2 linked regions of the Arabidopsis thaliana genome follow. The protein of the gene in region 1 purifies or fractionates together with the protein of each later gene. This does not show direct contact. Each region holds a gene or a part of one and is shown in the gene's direction. Other genes may lie near its edges.

The links.
Region 2: the proteins of CALS1 (region 1) and TUB1 purify together in Arabidopsis thaliana (co-purification; one study listed by BioGRID). This does not show direct contact.

The regions. Positions count from the first base shown.
Region 1 is NC_003070.9:1,657,827-1,661,758, reverse strand, and holds the start of CALS1 (callose synthase 1), read left to right. Parts: upstream 1-2,147; 5' UTR 2,148-2,503; intron 2,504-2,679; exon of another isoform or gene 2,680-3,059; 5' UTR 3,060-3,081; coding exon 3,082-3,268; intron 3,269-3,359; coding exon 3,360-3,460; intron 3,461-3,553; coding exon 3,554-3,675; intron 3,676-3,777; coding exon 3,778-3,871; intron 3,872-3,932.
Region 2 is NC_003070.9:28,452,180-28,456,111, reverse strand, and holds the start of TUB1 (tubulin beta-1 chain), read left to right. Parts: upstream 1-2,291; 5' UTR 2,292-2,509; coding exon 2,510-2,906; intron 2,907-3,699; coding exon 3,700-3,932. Other genes in the region: sks18 (SKU5 similar 18), read left to right, coding at 1-213, 317-682, 765-843, 923-1,132.

The DNA.
Region 1 (3,932 bases):
ATGTGTAATTTCATAGCTAAATAGCCTAAATTGATTATCATAATTAACATAATAGTATATTTGAAAATAAAGTCTTAAGGGTACTCTGTTTCTGCCACTTTTGAAACAGAGGAATTATTTACTTACATGGTTTTGAAGTCAAGTCTTAAGATGTGATGGAAGAAACATGACAGGATTCTACCTTTGCCTCTATGGCTCTATAGACTATGTCCATCACTGCTGCATAATGGCATATTTTTTACATATCCATTTTTCCAAGAAAAGAGTCATAAACTTATGCATGATAAATACAGTTGACATGATTTCCATGAAATCTAACCCAGCCCAACAAGGCCCATAGGTAGAACCCATCCAAAATCCAGCTTATGAGTGAGTTACATGTGACATTTAGTCACTCCCAAGTCCTAACGCCGATGTGAGCTGTGTAAAGAATATCAATACTTTCACTCACAGGTCAGACACTGAAATTTTGCTTCAACTTGAGTCATCCAAGATGATATTTATAGAATCAAGCCCATCTTTATGGTTGGATATCCCAATCTCCATGACCACTTTGATCATTAAATATCTTCCAATAATTATACGAACTAGCGGACTAGTCAAATATGTTAATCCTAAAAAAAACATTTGAAAAGTCACATTTTCCACCTGTTAAGCCATGAATTCTATAAATTCTATATGAGTTACCACAATGTTTCTCTGAACAAATTACCGTGATGAAAAAAAAAGAATGAAAGCTGATAACAAATTTTGGTCAAGTTGACAATGTTTCTATCGTTGCTTGGAAAAATAATACGAGATAATGTTTTGTGTCTATCTTCTTCACATGCAATCTTAAATGAAATTAGTATATTGTTACAAACGTCAGAGAAACAGGAAAATGACGGGAGACCTTGTTAAACGAGAGAAACAAAACGTCAGCATGTTAGTTGAGCTCTGTCACCATATATTTATGCATATCTTTTGGAACTCTTCGTATATATCACAAGCATCAATAATATTTTTTTCTATCTTAACCCATTTTTATTTATATTAAAACCGTGTAAGGAAATCGCCAGAAATTGCAGACCTGTTTCGTCCTTAATTGCGGATCTCATCAATAGGTTAAGTAGTGACAACTTGTTGCGAGGATAATAGTAGTGATGGTTTTCGAAGATGAGTTATCCCAAAAAAAGAAAACAATTGACGTGGTGATAATAAGTGATCAATAATGTATGTAAACATATGAATGGTGAGAAACGTAAATGTTTATTTTCCTAGTAATAGATAAGATACTTCTAGTTTAGAGTGGTCCACTACTGTCTCTTTAACAAAGGCATGATGAAAAAAAAGTTCCTACTTGCAATTTCATGTTTGTTTAATTTTAGTATGACTCAAAAATTGAATTATTGACCAATAATCTATTTGATGGTTCGTTTTACTTTTATTATTTTTTGTTGAAAGAACAAATTTGAGAGAAAAAAGCTTAGTTAAAAGTTACTTTTGACTGAGCGTTCGATGCTTTTTCATCTAAACCACTTGGAACTCATCAAATAGTATATTTTTGCTTATATATACGTTTTCATATATTGCCAAACAAAATTATATTGTTACGATGATATTGTAAGAGCATTATAAGGATTAAGTTGAGTTAATATGTGTTTAGCTATGTTTGGTTTAATGGAAAATCATGTGCAACTAGCAAGAATAATATCACACATCACTGTTTTTGACTAATGGACAAATTGGATGTGACACTTAATAGAATAATTCTTTCTTGGTAGTTGCTATGATAACTATATTTGTCTTAACGTGAGAAAAGAAGCGATTGGATTGATGAGGGGAAATAAGTTGGATATGATCTCTGAATTCAACAAACACACATCTTTTACAATGAGCAGATGACTAAACTTTAATACACTAATATGGAAAGTTCGAAGGAAAATTACCTTGGATGATGATGATATTCGAGTCCAGCAAACACGCTTTGCTCAAAATTGTTAATCCAAAAGAACAAAAGACATCATATCTCCCAATATTTAATCATGACTAAACAATAGTAATAAAGCTACATAAATGTATAATTTATGATTCAGTTAAATAAAGTTTTATGTATTTTATCAAAGAGAGTCCAAAAGTCATTTTATATTTACTTGTCGAATATTTATTGTCACATATACATATGAAAACGACCCAGCAGCTTCCAAAAATTTATGACGTTATATATTAAAATTTAATACGTTATTAGATGACGTGGCAGTTTATCATTGGCTAACCAGAAAAAGCTGCAAGAAAGGAAATGTGTTACTATAAACTTGGCGCCTGTCTTGTAGCCGTTGCTTTCCTCTCCGGCCTTTTCTCTCTCCTCTCTTCGACCGTCGTCGCCGGAGACCCTTTTCAAGCGGCCAAACAAAGATGCAAGCTTTTTTCTTTAATACTACTGTAGCACTATCGCATCCGATGCTGTTTTAGATTTTGGGTACTCTGCTTCTCTTTCTCTTCATCTTCCTCTGTTCGTCGTCAGGTGATCCTTAAATCTCTGAGTCTCTTTTCACTGTTTTTTATTTTGTTAGATTCTGGTTATTATTTGATTGTGCGTTTCACTTATCCGATTCCTAAGGTTTTAAATTTGTTTCCACTTGACTTGACTTTTGAGTGTGCTCCTCCGTTTTCTAGGTCGTGTAACCCAATTTCGTTTTTTTTTTTTTTATTGGAGATTGTTTTAAGGCTTTCGAAAGTTTAATCCTCTCTGTTTCTAGGACCAGTAATTTAGCTATGGATTGTCTTGTCGAATTGGGTAGTTAAAATATCTGTTTTTTGCTTTTACATCGTCGGCTACTTTACTGGTTTTTGGGGGACTTCGTTGGATCTTTCACCTTTCTTTATAGAAAGAAAACAGCTTTTCGCGTTTATTGCGCGTACAGTGATGTTTGCTTTTCTGTGGATGAATCCGAAATTCGCTTCTCTGTGAAAGTAAATCTTACTGTTCTGGATATTATCTTGGATCCTAGTCTCTCTCTATCGCTTATGTTTGAGTTCACAAGTCTCTCAAGGTTTTAACAAGTATTTTAATTTGGTAGCTGAGTTTGATTGTCGGAAAATATGGCTCAAAGAAGGGAACCTGATCCGCCTCCACCGCAGAGGCGGATTCTGCGGACTCAGACTGTTGGTAGTCTCGGAGAGGCTATGCTTGATAGTGAAGTTGTTCCCTCTTCTTTAGTTGAGATTGCTCCGATTCTACGTGTGGCTAATGAAGTTGAAGCTAGTAATCCACGAGTTGCTTACCTATGTGAGTTGTAACAATTTCATTAACTTGATTGTGAATCATAAAATAACTTCTTTTCTCAGCTTAAATTAGCTTTGAATAACAAAATTACCAGGTCGTTTCTACGCATTTGAGAAGGCGCATAGGCTTGATCCAACTTCAAGTGGTCGTGGTGTTCGCCAGTTTAAGACCGCGCTTCTTCAACGATTAGAAAGGGTAAATATGAATGTATACACTTTATTGATTTGACTAACATGTTGTGTTTAAGTGTTGAACTCATGCCGTTTACGTTTCTGATTACTTCTTCAGGAGAATGAAACAACTTTGGCAGGAAGGCAAAAGAGTGATGCACGTGAAATGCAGAGTTTCTATCAACACTACTACAAGAAATACATCCAAGCTTTGCTGAATGCTGCGGATAAAGCTGACCGGTTTGTGTTTCACTAAATGTTTTCCTTCAAATGTGCTGTTTTTTTTCTTGCAACTTGACCTCTTACTGTGTTTTCCACTCATTTACAATATTTTACCTTTAGTGCTCAACTTACAAAGGCCTATCAAACTGCTGCCGTTCTCTTTGAAGTCTTGAAGGCTGTTAATCAAACAGAAGATGTGGAAGTGGCTGATGAGGTGAACCTCATAGTAGATATTGATCTTATAGTCTCATTCTTGTGCGAGTCGTTACAAATGC
Region 2 (3,932 bases), about 27 Mb from region 1:
ATCATACTCTATTCTTGTCACTGCCAAAACCGACCCGGTTGGAATTTACCGGTCTTACTACATATTCGCCACAGCTCGGTTCACTGATTCCTACCTTGGCGGTATAGCTTTAATTCGATATCCCGGTTCCCCACTTGACCCAGTCGGACAAGGTCCACTCGCACCTGCTTTGCAAGATTTTGGTTCCTCAGTTGAACAAGCCCTTTCCATTAGGTAAAGAAATACTCTTTTTTTATACCAAAGAATAAAAACTTTTATATGAAATATTTCGTTTAGTATTTGTTCTTGACTAATAAACGTTAAGTGTACGACACAGAATGGACCTGAACGTTGGAGCAGCAAGATCGAACCCTCAAGGTTCGTACCACTATGGACGAATAAACGTAACCAGAACGATAATATTACATAACGACGTTATGTTATCGTCGGGCAAACTACGGTATACGATTAACGGCGTTTCGTTTGTCTACCCCGAGACTCCGTTAAAGCTCGTTGATCATTTTCAGCTAAATGACACGATAATCCCTGGCATGTTCCCGGTTTATCCATCCAACAAAACACCGACTCTTGGAACTTCAGTGGTCGATATTCATTACAAAGATTTCATCCACATCGTGTTCCAGAACCCTCTATTTGGATTGGAGAGTTATCACATCGATGGTTACAATTTCTTCGTTGTCGGGTAAAAATTACAATATTTAAATCATAATTATGTGTATGATGATTAAATTAGGTGTACTAATTTTATTTGAGTTTAATGTTAGATATGGATTTGGAGCTTGGTCTGAAAGCAAAAAAGCTGGATATAACTTAGTAGATGCTGTTTCACGGTCAACAGTTCAGGTTAAGCCATATCTAATCTCGTAATTTAAAGTATTAAACCAGTGATTAGTTTTGGTTAATTGATTCTGTGTGTGTTTAGGTTTATCCATATTCGTGGACAGCAATATTGATAGCTATGGATAATCAAGGAATGTGGAACGTGAGATCACAGAAAGCAGAGCAATGGTATCTTGGTCAAGAGCTTTATATGAGAGTTAAAGGTGAAGGAGAAGAAGATCCTTCGACTATTCCGGTTAGAGATGAAAATCCGATACCGGGAAATGTCATCCGTTGTGGCAAAGTTCGATAATAATTAATTGTCTGAAATAATAAAACCTAGAAAAGTCTATTTTAATTAGCAAAACTAAAGAACGGTTTAAAGGAATGATCAGAGAGTATTAGGATCTGTGTTGATCTTAGGGTTTGTGGTTTGATTGCGATTCGAATCACTTGTGTAATTGCAGAAGACGGATGGTAATTTAAAGAGATGATCTTAGGGTTTGTGGTTTGATTGCGACTAAAGACTACTAGACGATGCCGTTTTAGATTTTAATGGGCTCACACAGTTGTTATCTGCAAACCGGCCCAGGTCTGTTTTGACTTGGTGAGTGCTAACGTGCTCTATAAGAAGATATTGTAGCCACATACGAACAGCTAACGTGCTCCCATTTCCTCTATGTTCCCTTGAGTGACATACGTTTTCACAATAAGTTGGGAGCAAGTAATTTACCAAGAACAAATATATATTTTAAAAAATATAGGATCCTTTTACAAGTTCAATTATTGATTTTGACGTTACGTATAAACAGTAGATCGACCATGACATAAATAAAAATGAAAAAATAATTGGATCAAATCTCAGATCTTACTACAGTCTACATCTACCTAGCTACATGTGCTATGGCATTATTTGTTTTTCATGTTATCATCAATATTGTATAAAAGATCCAAACACAATCAGTGTGATGATATTTTTCTATACTTTTGATCATTCAACCGATTTCAATTATTGTGTTTGATCGTTTACATAGAAATAGGTACATATGCATTCAAGATCTCCAGATCGTTTATTACGTCTTGCTACATGTGCTATGTCACTAAAACAACTAAGATACTACATGCAAAGTTACTGTATTCATTACGCATTGATCGTCTTCTTCTACGCACTATTATTGAATTTTTGTTTCTCGATGTTTTCAGAAGTCATAACATATAATCAAGGGTGGTTGTAGCTAGTCGTGATGAAATTCGAATAGTAAAAGATTCATCAAATGGATCAAGATTTGAAACTAGAATGAATGATCGATACTTGAAAGCTATCACACTTAAATAGTTAAATGGACGATATAATTCAACAATATCTTAAATAACATTAATCATTCACTTTGTAGAAATTTCAATTTGACGGTGCTAACAACAATATGTGACATTTTTGTTTGCAGCAAAAAAGTCAAATGGTAAAAAAAAACATTTTTTTAAAAAGAGAGTATAGTAAAAAAAACAGAGGATAAAAAACGAACAAACGGTTAAAGCTGGCAAAGATCCCATCTTCCCCACGCTGTCAAATTTTGTCACTACTTCCCAAAAAAAACTCTCCCGCCTCTCTCTCTCCCTCTCCCTTCTTATTCTCCTCCTTCTTCTCCTTCACCATCTCCAGATCCCAAAATCTTCATCGATCATCATCATCATGAGAGAAATCCTCCACGTCCAAGGCGGCCAATGCGGTAACCAAATCGGTTCCAAATTCTGGGAAGTTATCTGCGACGAACACGGCGTTGATCCCACCGGACGTTACAACGGTGATTCCGCCGATCTTCAGCTCGAACGTATCAATGTTTATTACAATGAAGCTTCTGGTGGTCGTTACGTTCCTCGTGCTGTTCTCATGGATCTCGAGCCTGGTACTATGGATAGTATCAGATCTGGTCCCTACGGTCAGATTTTCCGTCCTGATAACTTCGTCTTTGGTCAATCCGGTGCCGGAAATAATTGGGCGAAAGGTCATTATACTGAAGGTGCTGAACTTATTGATGCTGTTCTCGATGTTGTTCGTAAGGAAGCTGAGAACTGTGATTGCCTTCAAGGTATATATATGAATCGATTTCTCCCTTTTGATTTATGAATCTGCTGGTGCTTTGATCATATTATCTGATTGATTTGTGAATCAAAACTGCAATTATCCGATGGTTTCGATCATTTAAATCTCGTCTCGTGAGTGTTAATGTAGTTGCATATTTAGTAACCGATGATTTCGATTTCAGTTTGATTTTTGATCATCTTCGCATTGCACTAGTGAATCTCTCACATATCGTGTTTTGATATTTGATTAACGTTTCTCTTCATTGATCTCTTCATGGTCATGGTTCCAATTACAGTTTATGAATTACATGAACATGATCCGTCGATGTTCTTGTGTTTGATTTGCGTTTTTATGGTGTTTCTCTCCTGTTGATTACTGTTTAAGAGTGAGCTGTTAACACTTAATGATTGGCTAGGATTTAGATTTTGTCTATTCTTTATAGTAAAAAGTTAACATCATTGAAACTAAGGACAATATCCTAATTTGGCGGTAGTGTATTAGTGTCCCCTAATGTTTTGTTCCAGATTTGTGACTGTGGATCAACAATATCACGTGAAACCTTAAAACCATATCGAATTTTATAATAAGAACTTTAGGGAATACTCTTGTGTTGACACTTTCGAGGTGAAACATATCACTTTGTGGGGATATAATTGAATAAGCAAGTGGGTCATGATTGGTTTCAGCAATTGTTAAATAACATCTCAATACTTTTTGGATCTGGTTTAGGTATAAGGGACTTCTTTAGTTTTGTAGTACATTGTTTCACACTTGTTCTTAACATTTCTGTATTACAGGGTTTCAAGTATGTCACTCTCTTGGAGGAGGCACGGGTTCAGGAATGGGAACTCTCTTGATATCAAAGATCCGTGAGGAATACCCAGACAGAATGATGCTCACATTCTCTGTTTTCCCATCTCCAAAGGTCTCAGACACAGTCGTTGAGCCGTACAATGCAACTCTCTCAGTCCACCAACTTGTAGAGAATGCTGATGAATGCATGGTCCTCGACAACGAAGCTCTTTACGAT